Arabidopsis thaliana: one gene and its partner. The protein of the gene in region 1 interacts with the protein of each later gene in a pairwise test. Each region holds a gene or a part of one and is shown in the gene's direction. Other genes may lie near its edges.

Region 1 (7,832 bases):
ATCCAATCAGAGCCGCCACAGTAGCTGCAATTAACGTTGTTACATTAACGAGTTCGGTCATTGTTTTATACAAAGGGGTTTCTTGTGCAAGAAGTTAGGGTAACTAGAAATTGATAGAGAGAGATAGTTTACCGAAGAATGGAACTGTGAGTGCAACGACCAAAGTGGAGAGAACTAATATGGTTCTAAAGAGCATAGAGACACCTTTGGATCTCATCTTTCTTGATGAAGACGGTATGAGTTCTTCTAGGCTTAGCATTACTGGAGTGATCGTTAAAGCGTATTTCGTCATTGGTGTTACGACCTAATCATACAAATGAGATAGGAATTGAGAGAAAATTATTATGAACAGAATGTGAAGAAGGTCTGAGATTCTTGATTTGGAAGGTTATCTAACCGCTGTCCAGACTGCGATTTTAGATGAGGTGAAATGTGGTGGCATGTTCAGTGTAAATTGGGATTGAATCGCATCACCAAACATCGTGAATCCACAAACCGCTACCGCAATGTAAAATAGAGTGCAAAACGCAAAACTACATAACGCAACAAACAATTATTTTATGAAATGAGAAGTGATGAAAATTAGACCTAGAGGTTTCTTGCGCTATAAGCAAAAGTTGTTTTACCTGATGAGAAGCACCGTAGGAAACTTGGAAGGTTCTTTCATGGATGAGTAAATGTTGGGGAAAACAGAGTGACTCCCGAAACCGAACCCGTAAATTCCGATTGCGACAGGTATGTTAGTTATATCAAGAGCTTGTCCGCTTATGTGAAATCCAACCCCGTCTACTGATCCAGCCCAAAAGAGGCAAAGCGCAAGCAAGATTGAGGAGATGACACCTCCGGCTAAGGAAACAAAACATTTCTTAAATTTAATTAAAGAGTTCAAATCTCAGAGATTGTTGTGTGTGCCAATTACGAGATGAACCTGAGAGATAGGACAATAAGCTGAGGTCTTTGAGCCAGACAGTAGGAAGAACAATAAGAGTCGTGGTAATGGCGAAAACTTGAGTAGAATCTAAAGAAAATCCGTTGATGTATAAGGAGGTATTTGGGAACATTCTTGACAAATTATCACTCATCATGATTATGTATTCCACACAAGATGCCTACAGAAAAAAATTCAAAGTTAGGACCTCAATTTCTTCAATCATGATATGAAACATGAAAGAGAGTTTGGTACTTACGTATAACTCTACGTAGAGAAGTATCTGAAATGTAATTCCAAACCCAAGTTAAGTTAGGATCACAATTCACACACAAACAAAGTTAAGATTGATTATTTGAAAAATAATCTTACAGAGACGAGGATGCGTCCAGTGGTTCCGAATGCAGCTTGACCGATGTCCGGGTAAGTGTGGATTCCAGGGGAGTTCTCGAGACATCTCTTGAGGAGAATGCCGGTGTAGAAAGTGATAATGCCAAAGGAGAAGAGTATGAAAAGCCCTAACCATCCTCCTTCTTTAACTGCGTAAGGCATTGTAAGTAAAGCTACTCCACATAGAACGTTAATTCCTGCAAAAAGAGAATGTTAAGAATCTCAATCTAAATAGAAAAGATAATCGTAAACTCAGTACTCTCGCACTAATGCTATACTAAACGTAAACTCAGTTCATCAATATATATCAGATTTGGTTTCAGTTTGATTATTTGACTAATCTTGGAAAACAGAGAAAACCTAACCAAAACTCAGATTGAACATTCCTAATGCAATTATTACCGTTGAGAACGGATTGAGAGAATGTGCAACTGCGGTTTTCTTGGGGAGTTAAAAGATCCCCTGGGACTGATAGCTGGAGATGAGAAGCAAGAAATGATTTGATGGAGGACACAACAGAGCTTTGGATCTCGTCTTTGTCTATGAGAAGTTGCTGTTTGCTTGGTGAAGAAGTAAACGAACCGAAAACAGAGCTTTGTCGTCTCTGGCGAAATGAAGAGACAAAACTTGTACTAGTCGGAGGTGTAACTCCAGTCAACAAATCCATAGATTGTCTGAAAATATCCCCAAGAACACCAAAATTATTCTCTAAAGAATAATTTCTTCAGATCTCTTACAAAAACAGAGCACTTAAAAAGAAAATGATTTACCGATAACTTCGAGGCCACGGAACGGGAACGTCTTCGGATCTGTTACGAGATAAAGGAGTTGAGGGAACGGAGCTCTCTGTTTGGCTTTCTTCATCTTCCTCATCGAACGTGTGATACAAATCTTCCCTTTCTTGATCGAATGTCTCGTTTTGCTTCATCTACTTTGTTTGTATTCTTCTACTGTGCTCTGTTTCAAAAACCAACAAAAGGTCTAAAAAGAAGAAGAAGAAGATTGAGAAGAAGCAACTAGGGGACGCAACGAAACGTGTTCTGTTTTCAAGTTCTAAATTATTGTCACGTTTCTTTATATTCTTTAATTAGCAGTCTCCTTACCTATGATGATGTCTCCCTGAATTTGTTTTTCCCCATAATTTAAATGTATTAATGAACAAATTCACGATTTTCCCATTATTCCACCAATAAGATAAATTTAATAATGTCCCATTATCCTATCACTACTAAATCTAAGAAACTTCAAGAACAATTCAAAGAATCTTCTACTCTGACGCGTAAGGTTCATTTACAAAAAATTTAGTTTTTATACAATAATACTATTTGCTTGAAAAAATATAAAAACGTTTCTGGCGAGGTTATTTATAAAACACAGAAATAGACACGTAATGAAGATTAGTTGATATGCATGTGATGTAAGAAGCCAATGACAGTTGGGTCATTAATTGGCCATTAAATGTTCATCTCTAATTACTTATGCAGCAGTTAAATTTATTTTTTGTTCGTTTTATTTTGGTAGCTGAGCACCTTCGTCTATAACTGCTTAAAAACTTACAATAATACTCAGACAATTTCTTACAGAACAAGAAAGCAAAGAAACTTACACATAAAAAAGCAATTGTATATATATATATATATATATATATCCACCCATCTCCAAGCAACCATTGATCATTCCAAGCTATCTACTTTTGCAGAGGTATATTGTAGAGAAGAAGAGGAATGAGAAATGGAGCTTTTTACATATATATGAAGAAGACTTATGATTTATCAATCTGGTTAAGCTTTCCGAGTCCATTGCAGTTAGCACAAACGATCTGAGGAAGATCCTTCCGTGCGGCGTTGGCTCTCAGAGTCACTCCTCCTTTCCTCACAAATCCTGCTCCGTCACATTCCGGACACCTAAACCACACACATTTCAGAGCTTAAACTCACAATGTACAATCTCTGATTCAGTTTACTACATCGGCTAAGAGTTTATGTACGTTTTCAAAATCCATAACAGAGGATTTAGTCCGGTTAAGATAATTCGAATGTTGAACCGGACAATAAACTATGATAATCTGCAATTGATCAGTCAAAATTTGGTTTAACGAGCATTAAAACCGGTTTAAGTCACAAGGTAAAAAGATGAGAGTGGTTTACGTGTCTTTGCGTTTGAAGAGGATCGGGAATGCAGTTCCGACGAGTGCAACGGCGATGGCTCCGCCGATTAAGTAGATTGTTCCGTCAGAAGAGACATCACCGACGGCGGCGACAACTACGGAGGAAGAAGATCTCTTGTTTTTGGGAAGAATCACATTGTTCGGTGATGGTGATCCCCACGAAGAAGAATGTTTCAGGAAGTTGGTTGATGACACGAACGTCGTCTGCAATGCCGGTGCGATCGTCATAATTTAGGGTTTTAAGTGACTGATTTCGATTTGGGGGAAGTAATAAGAAGAAGTGATTTGATTTTTATGGAAAGGTTTTGAATTTGGATTTGCTTCGTGACGTGTCACTCTCTCGAAGTGGATAACGTTTTCACTTGGGATTTTTGGGGTTCTTCAGTTTTCTTTTGTGTGTGGATAAGGTAGGCCCCTTCAAGATATTTCGAGTTAACAATTGGGCCTGTTAAGCCCATTATTAAGTTAGCGTGAACATAAGGCCCAAACTATTTGTCATTGTCTCTGACTCTCTGACCTTCGCAGAGTCTTTCTCTTCTTCCGTTGCTTCAATGGCGAAAGACGGACCTAACTGGGACGGTCTGCTTAAGTGGAGTCTCTCTCACTCCGATGGTACTCGACCTACTTGCCAATTAAGGTACGAAGTTTCTTTGTAATTTCAGGTTTTGTTGGTCACTTAGTGGAGCTTATGTTGTTTGTTGGGTTGTTTTAGAAATTTGCGTGGTTCTGCGTCAGTTTCTTATGAGGAATGAATCATGTAGTGGAATTTGACTATTTGATTTGGTATTGTTTGGTAGATGGTTTTTGATGATATGAAATTGTTTGGTTAGACAGTGAGGAGGATCGAAAATGGTTTGCAGAAGCTATGCAATCACAAACGGTAGATGTAGTCAAGCGGTTGAAGGAGATTACACAGGTATTGCAGACACCTCAACAAGTTTTGGAGGCTCATGAAGTGACCCCTCAAGATATTGAAGGTTCAATATGGAGTTCACTATTGTTTTCTTAGCTATTTTCTCTCTTGTTGGTTACTAAGATTTTGAGTTATGATGATTTGGTAGGTTTGTTGGATGAGTTGCAGGAACATGTTGAATCGATTGATATGGCTAATGGTGAGTCTTTTCATACTTTGACCTTGTAACTTTGTTCTATATCTGTCTTTTGATTGCTGGGCTTAACTTGTACTTCTTTGAATGTATGGGCAGATCTTCATTCCGTTGGAGGCTTGGTACCTCTTCTTGGCTACCTCAAAAACTCCAATGCTAATATCCGGGCTAAGTCTGCAGATGTTGTAAGCACAATAGTTGAGAACAATCCTCGGAGTCAAGAATCAGTTATGGAAGCCAATGGTTTAGAGTCCTTGCTTTTAAGGTTTACTTCAGACACCGATATGCATTCTCGAACACAGGCTCTCGGTGCAATATCATGTAAGCTGCTCTGAGTTCTATCCTATATACTTAGATGGTCGAATGCCTTTTTCAAAAACAAAAATGTCTATCGTAAATCTGATGAATGTATTGTGGTAAATTTGGGGTACAGCTTTGATTCGCAATAATAAACCTGGGATCACAGGTTTCCGGATTGCAAATGGTTACTCTGGTTTAAAAGATGCTTTGGAAACTGATAGTGTGAGATTTCAAAGGTAATAATACTCTTCACTTTTCTTCATGCTTGGATTCCTCTGAACTTTGAGAGAACACAAAGTTGTAACCTTTGTTCTGCTGTTGTCTAACTTTCAAAACTTTTGTCATTACTTTCTCATTCTTCAGGAAAGCTTTAAACTTGTTGCATTATCTTCTACAAGAGAATGACTCAGACTCCGATATTGCTATAGAATTCGGGCTTCACCATTTGATGATGCACCTCGTGTCTAGCTTCGATGCTGATGTAAGAGAAGCTGCTCTTCGAGGATTGCTTGAGCTCGTGAAAGCTAGAAAAGACTGTAGTACTTGTGGTTCTAGCATAGTGAAAGGCGATGAGAGACTCAGACAGATTCTAAAAGATCGGATCAAAGCAATCAGCCGGGTCAAAGCAATGAGCTTGTTTATGTCACAAGAAGATCTATCAGCCGCTAAAGAGGAGAGGCAGCTCTTAGATTCACTATGGACCACAATCTTCAACGAACCTTCTTCTCTTTAGAGACAAAGATACAAAGAGACAAAACCGTCTGTGCTTCCTTATATCATGAGTAAGCACTAAAACCGTCTTTTATGTCTTTGGACCCACCAGCTAAAGCTTGTGTCTTTAGAACACTAGTTAAAAGGATGGTAACCACTGTATAATGACCAAATTTTGATTCTATTTTGAGTTCAAATTTTCTCAGTTTCTCATTCAATGACCTAAAAACAGACCGTACAAGTACCAAATCAAGCTACTGCATGATAAACATAACATAAAAATCAGAAGCCTCTCACTTTGGAGGACAGAAAGTGATAACATAACGAGAAGCTCTACACTTATTCAAACTACTAGAATCATCAAACGCATAACTATAAGCTTTAGGACAAATCGCTTTAAACAGATTCGCGAACAGAGTCGGCTTACACGCCTGAGGATTCGCATATTCACCGGTGCAACAATACTTAGCCGATTGCATCGCCAAGCAAGCACTTTTACAACCAACCACTTTCCCATCTCTCTTAACTTCCAAAGCTGATGGACAACAAATGTTCAAATTCACTTCACAAGCCGCAACGCCACATCCAACTCCACCGCCGATTGGTTTCATCGACACCGGAAGATTGAAACCGTCGACGAGACTTACGTCGTAGAAATGAAGCGGAGAGGAAGATGAGCCTAATGTCATTTCTACTACGGTTGCTGGTGGTACACCGCCGGTTCCTTGGCAGTTGATAGAGCCGTCGTTGCAGTCTCCGGTTTGGCATGAGCCTTTACCGTTTTGGTTAAAGGTGCAGCCTTGTCTACCCCAGATTCGACCGGACCATTTATCCGGTACGTCTATGATGGTTTCTTCGCCGCTTCCCATGTGGAATCCGCCGTTTCTTGGTGTGATTTGGCCTCCGCCGCCGAGAATTCCCGGCCAAATGCTCTCCTGGCAGTTATTCACTATTATAAGCTGAGCTCCATCTGCAAAAGAACAAAGTCACTATTATTGAGAGGAATCAAAACGAGAAACAAAACCCATTTCATAAATTATCGAGAAGGAGAAGAGATATCGTACCAGTGAAGGCTGAGATAGTGAGAAAGAGAAGGAATAGAGTTGCAGATTTCGTCATTGTTGTTGATGTTGTTGTTGTTGTGTGGGGATATATCACTTCTAAAGTTTGCTTTTGTGTGTGTTGTGGTTGTTTTCAAGAGAATATTAATAAAGAATATGTTGAGGACGTCGTGGTCGAAGGAAGAAGTGGAAACTTGGGTTGCAAGACTAATATTGGTGTGGTGAAGTGGATTGTTGTATAGGGAACTGCCAAGTGCTAACGTTTTATAAACTGAGACTTTCATGGGATTAGTGGGAAAGAGAAAGATATGGAGGCTTGATCGTGAGCCTTCTTCTATGAAGAATGGGTTAAAGTTGGATTTAAAGAAAAAGAGAAAGATTCATATGTCTCTCAAACGTTTATTATTGGATAAAGATTAACACTCATAGATTTCTTCATCATTGCATTTCTTTAAGGCAAATTTGTTTATACTTTACAATCCATAACTAATTTTCAGACCTAGCTAAAATCTCATTGTCTAACATTTTAATTATTCTTAGAAATTGATTTGATATTTTTGAATATAGTTTTATAATTTTTGTAATAATGTCGTAATGTTACCACCTGAATTCACTGTTTTGAGTCTATATGAAAATTGTAATAAGGAAAATGTTAGAGTGCTTCACTAGAGTTTTGAACTTTTGATTTTATATGTCAGTTTGTTTTTCTTTCAAAAATTATGTTATATGTTATCTATGCGTATATAAACTTCATCACTTGCTAGTAGCCTAGCATGTCCCAACATTTCTTACCTTTGCTATGACCTTTTTCACTTTGTACATCAAATCAGCAGAGAGCATATATGCATTACTTCAATGAGAGGATTTGCTTTGTTTTTAAACAAAGGCTATATTTACACAAAACAAATCATTCTCTTTTTAATGTTCTTATAATATTTTGTTGGTTTTTGAAAGGTAATAATAGAGATCGAAGCCAAGAATGTCACTAGAGTCTATAGACTTGCTTTTAATAACAGGTGGGGAGGTTGAAGGTTTTGGTGGGTAGGTATCTTGCAAGACATACATATAACATATTGATGAGTACTACTTGCTCAATATTACTTCAAGCTGAAGCAAAATAACATATGAAACCAAATTGAGATAACACTTCAAATCATATTGCAAATGTA
Region 2 (5,690 bases), on another chromosome or scaffold:
ACAAATTTAATACAAAATGTAGTAATAAAAGAAATAAAGTTACATGAACACATAAATGTTACAAGAAATAAAATACTACAACAATACAAAGGTCACCAAAGTATTATATATATACAAATTTGATGTGATCGAATGTTTTTTTTTTTTTTTTTGAATTTTGTTTTTGGGTATCATTCTTAGTAGTTCAAACTGAATAAACTCATTAATTTTTATTTTTATTTTGCTAGATTTTGCATATGTTGTTGAGCTATCTCATAGCTCTTTCCCTTAGTTGCTGCACTTTTATTAGTAGATTAAGAATTTATTCATTTGATGAAAACAAAATATTAACATGTGGTTTATTACTTTCGGACAATGTGATGAAATTTAATTCACCCTCATCTCTACTTAAATTGATTTGAAATGAAAACATTTATAGAGATTGTGATGTTAGAGAGTACATATGATGCACAAGTTTATTCAGTGTTTTTGTATTCTATTTGGAAGTTGTGACTTAATTTGTGAGTTTATTATTATTATTTATATGTAATTTTATATTGTAATGTAATGTTTTATTTATTAATCAATTTGCTTATAATATTTATTTAATGTATGTTTTATAGTTATATATATAAGCTTTTATGAACTAAACAATATGATAACTATAATGCAAAATACAAATTATTTTGAAGTTGAATTTGAAGTTTTATCATTGACGAGAACACTTTCAAACTTTAACTATGGAGTTCTGCAACTGACAAAAGTAAAATATCCATGTCTGCTTAAAGAAGTAATTGATTTCATTTCTAAAATCGTGATGATATTCCAATATTTTCGGATCCAAAGATGATACAGATTTTGCAGAAGAAATAAAACGAACTGCCCAAGAGTAAAAGTGGACAAAAAGATAATTAGGAGAAAAATGGTATTTTTGCAAATTTCTCTAAAGTTTTAGAGTTAAATAAGGATTATTAATTTTTCCTTTTTTTTACCTGAAAAATAGTTGAGTCATTGTTAGTTTGTTACTCATTTTACTTATAAAACTTTTAATCATTTTTACTTGAATTACATTTGGATATATCATATATGAAAATAATAATATCTTTGGTGTGTATAAAACTTCTAGAACATGAAAATTTATCAATCGTGAGTTGAATGTTTCACTAAACTTTTTAAACAATTAAAAGAATGACAAATATAGATTTCCATAAATGAAAAAAAAAGAATGGACTTGCATATTTTCATGTGTGTATATATGTATTTTATTTTTAACACTTTTGGCATACCTCTTTAATTAATTGGTTAACTTCTAAATATTACTATTTGAGAAGTGAGTTTACAACGAAATTTGAAAATTAAAGCTGTGAAAATGAAAGTTGGAATGTAAATAAAACCCGTCTTAAAATTACCTTTTACTTTGGGAGATTTGCAAAACTACCTTTTTTGTTTTTTTACTATTTTTCACTAAAAATAATATTTCATTAAATAAAAAACTATATATAGTAGTCAAGAAAATATTTTTGGGTTATAAATATAAAGGTTGTAAAAAATAAAAATAAAAAAAAACAAATATGTGAATTTTAGGCCCGAATATTTACTTTCTGAGCCCATTTGTAAGCCCACTTCCTAAACCGAGTTTTATAAAATAATAAAAAAAAACAGAAATAAATAGTCAACCGACTCAAAATAAACCACTATTTAGACGCCACGTGTACCCAGAACAAAACGTATGGCCTGTGTATCTCTCACGCCACCTCTATTTTTCTTCTGCCTCCTCGAACCTTCTTTTTCTCACTTCTCATAAAAAAGGTCATTTCAAAAAAAAATCAGAAACCGTCAAAAAGCCACCGTTGATATTTCTTCCTTGTTGCTTCTTCAATGGCGTCGTTCGACGAAGCACCTCCCGGAAACCCCAAAGCCGGTGAAAAGATCTTCAGAACCAAGTGCGCTCAGTGTCACACCGTCGAGAAAGGTGCCGGTCACAAACAAGGTCTGTTCCTCTGATTCTCTCTTAGATCCACAATATTCTGTATCATCATCGTTTGATTTTATTTGGTTACGCTTTGTTCGAATCTGGATCTACCACATGCGTTTCGTTTTCTCGTATTGATCTTCGTTTGTGTTTGTTTAGGATCCGTATGTCTTTATTTTGAATTTTGGAATTTTGTTATGAATTCAGGACCGAATTTGAATGGATTGTTTGGAAGACAATCTGGAACAACTCCAGGATATTCTTACTCTGCTGCTAACAAAAGCATGGCTGTGAATTGGGAGGAGAAGACTCTTTACGATTACTTGTTGAATCCTAAGAAGGTATTTGATTGCTCTTTAATCTTTAATGGACTTCGATCATAGAGTCTGGTGATTAAGGTTCTTGATTGTTCATAAGCTAATTTGTGGATTAGTGGTCTTTAGTTTTAGAATATTTGTTGCAAAAGGAATTATGAGTCTTTATACCTTCTTAAGTATTGTTAGGTTGATCTAGAAACACAATTTGTTTGTTCATTTCGGTTTGGTGCAAAAATCTCCATATTTGTGAAATTGGACATCATCTTTCAAAATGGTACACTAATAAGTGCAACATCTCAATGTTGTGCCATTTGTTTTCTATTGCATGTTCAAGAATATCAAGCAATTAGCAACATTTGTTTTGGTTAATACTTGAGTCTTTCCTTCACTCTTGTCTATTGTCTCTTTATTGAGCTGATTTGTGGAATTTTCCACAAATCTTATGATTCATCTTTCACTCTTTAAGCTGGTGCATCATAACCTGTGTGTGCATCATCATCTCAACAGTGTTCCAATTTATTATATTGCATATTCTAGAATATCGAAACATAATATTGTCTGTCAAGAAAATGCTGTTTGGCTAATACTGACTCCTTTCTTCACACTTTTGGGTCGCTTGTTTCTTTTTGAGCAATTATGAAGAGATAAGATCTCAATTTGATTGAATTGGTGTGGAATTTCTTTGCTTGTTACAGTACATCCCTGGAACAAAAATGGTGTTTCCTGGACTGAAAAAACCGCAAGATCGTGCCGATCTCATCGCTTATTTGAAGGAAGGTACTGCTTAGACAGGCTCGTCCAGATATATGAAGCTGGCATTTTTTTTTCTCACAGCTAAATAAAATCAGACCAAAAATATTATGGTCATGAACTGCTTTTTGTATGGTCTTTTATTCTTTCTTTCTTTTTACGTTGTTGAAGAGGCTAGTTGCCTCTTATAAAGTGGAATATTCGTTATTGATGTGAAGAGCTAAGAACCAATTTCCACCACGATAGTCATGAGATTTTCCTAATTCAACTTGCCTACTTTTGTTACGAGTTTAGAATCTTTTTTTCAGTTGTTCATTTTCATTTCAATAATTAGACAAATACGTAAGAGATGCGCATAATTCAGCTAAATCAGTAGAACATAAAAGACAACATAAAGGAAAATCTGACAGTGTTACATTCATTTTGGAAGATAAAGTTGAAGCATTTTGGCATAAAATAAAAATGGTGGATCATTACGAGTTGCCATATGATAAGTGGCATAAAAGATTATTTACCACCTAAGATGCATATATAAAGTGAATTCCTATGCAGCATAGTGGTTCTATAATTAATGCATATTATTAGATTTTATTACCCCACAAGAACATTTGCCACATTTAAGCTTCAAGAACAGCTTTTGGTTCTTTACTTGGAAGCTTGCAGCCTAATGAAGAGTCTTGCAGAGATCTTGGTTTGTCTCTCAAAACTCCTTCCCCAAATACTCGCAAGCAAGATTGACCTGTTTTTTTATTTTTCTTTGTCTAAATATCATTGGGATATCCTACTATATTATTTGGGAAGTACATTTTAAATATAACCTTTGTAAGTAATTACATAAGTATGCCATTAGAAATAAAATTTAAAGAGTAAATTAATTCATCTCTTTAAAAATTTAAGTTAAATACTAATTTAATTAAAAAACGAAATACATTATTAATTTCCAAAAAAGTAACCAATCAAAATCAACAAATTAGATTTGATATCTAAATTTTATATTAATTTTTTATTAATTATTATAGTTCACCTCTCATCTTTATATGATTCTATTTTTGCGAAAAAATAATATCATCGTTATAAAAAAATAATTAGAGTTGCTTCGCATATACCATAATTTGAATTTTTAAAAACGAATATAAACTGTTCAATACATAAAAAATATTATAACGGATCAAAAATAGATTTAAGAAAATTTTCTACTGAGTATTGGGTCATAATTTGAATATTTATATTCAATTTCATACATATTATTTTAAAAATTTTTAATCTTATATACTACAATAATTAATAACATATTAGATTTTTTTTATGTGTATGATGTGATTCAATATTTAATAGAAGCTGGAAAATCCTAGAATTGACGGGTTTAAGGGCTTGATTGGTTCTCCCTTTACCACCCGCAAACGCAGCGTTTGCGATTGGTAGCGATTGTTAGCGATTGACACCAATCATAGAAACCGCTAGACATCGCTTTGGACCGCTCGAAATCGCCCGTTTTCAAAAGCTCCTTCCCGCAAGCGTTTGCGGTTGCGGGCGGTAGCGGTTAGGTTAAAAAAATAATATTTTTTTAATTAAATTAAATAATGGTGGCTTCCACCCAAATTCTAATCACTATAATTAAAATAATCTAATCTTTTATATATCTTATTTTTATCAGAAAACCTTAATCAATATATTGTAACCTTATTATCTCAATTATGGCATTCGATGAAAATCAAAATCAAGAATCAAACATAACTATCATCTATCCTTTTATTCATTCATTAGCTAGTGTAATTCTTTAACTATTTCATAGCATCGTTGTTTATTCATTCAATAGTTTAGTTGTTTTGGATATTTAGGTCCAAATTTAATTGACATATTTAGATTTATAATTATAATCTTAGATAATTAGATAATATTACGATTAAATATAATTAATATTTTGGATGTTAAATTAATGTTTGGGTTTTTGAATACTCTTTTTGGGTAACGGGTAATTTCCGGGCCAATCGGATATCCACGGGTTTACTAAAACTCTACCCAATAAGGAATTTTCAAAACGCTTGATAACGCTTGAAACCGCAACCGCCCGTTTCCGCAAACTCCCGCAACCGCAACCGCACCCGCTGCGTTTAAAACAGTCAGGCCCTAAATCGATATTAATACAAGATGGTATACTACATGTGAAACTCTAAAATTAACAATCAAAATACAAGTGTATAATTTTAAACACTAAATAATATGTTTTTTTAAACACTAAATTTTTTTGAATAAAAAGTAGTTAGTAAAACATATGTTTTTTTTAAAGAGTTTTTAGATAATTAAATCAGAGAATATTGGGCATATGAGTAACCCATTCGAGTTCGGGTAGAACCCGTTCGGGTTTGGGATTAATGGGTATATGATTTACTACCCAATAGAATAATTATAAATATTCGGTTCTGGTTCGGGTCTGATCCAGTTGGGTTTGGGTCAGTTTGGATAAAAAGTTTCAGACCCTAAAAATACCCAAAAAAATAGAAACGGTAAATTTGTATGTAGATAGCGCATCTCCAAACAAAAAAAACTTTTAAATTTGTTAAGTTTTAATAAATTTAATTATATCTGAATATATTTTACTAAATTTTGACAAACATAATAAATAATTTTTGAATAGTTTAGTTGTTTTGGATATTTAGGTCCAAATTTAATTG

What was found.
Region 2: the proteins of Fes1C (region 1) and CYTC-2 interact in a two-hybrid assay, tested with the Arabidopsis thaliana proteins (one large-scale study listed by BioGRID).

What each region holds. Positions count from the first base shown.
Region 1 is NC_003076.8:422,273-430,104, reverse strand, and holds Fes1C (Fes1C), read left to right. Parts: upstream 1-3,726; 5' UTR 3,727-3,892; intron 3,893-3,988; exon of another isoform or gene 3,989-4,010; 5' UTR 4,011-4,036; coding exon 4,037-4,122; intron 4,123-4,315; exon of another isoform or gene 4,316-4,319; coding exon 4,320-4,462; intron 4,463-4,546; coding exon 4,547-4,597; intron 4,598-4,690; coding exon 4,691-4,912; intron 4,913-5,024; coding exon 5,025-5,127; intron 5,128-5,254; coding exon 5,255-5,624; downstream 5,625-7,832. Other genes in the region: AT5G02170 (Transmembrane amino acid transporter family protein), read right to left, coding at 1-24, 133-304, 398-533, 627-846, 929-1,109, 1,188-1,211, 1,301-1,515, 1,721-1,992 and 1 more; AT5G02160 (uncharacterized protein), read right to left, coding at 3,081-3,222, 3,466-3,713; AT5G02140 (Pathogenesis-related thaumatin superfamily protein), read right to left, coding at 5,668-5,824, 5,900-6,572, 6,667-6,721.
Region 2 is NC_003075.7:6,275,226-6,280,915, forward strand, and holds CYTC-2 (cytochrome c-2), read left to right. Parts: upstream 1-1,722; 5' UTR 1,723-1,857; coding exon 1,858-1,969; intron 1,970-2,158; coding exon 2,159-2,292; intron 2,293-2,963; coding exon 2,964-3,056; 3' UTR 3,057-3,397; downstream 3,398-5,690. UniProt on the Arabidopsis thaliana protein: Electron carrier protein. The oxidized form of the cytochrome c heme group can accept an electron from the heme group of the cytochrome c1 subunit of cytochrome reductase.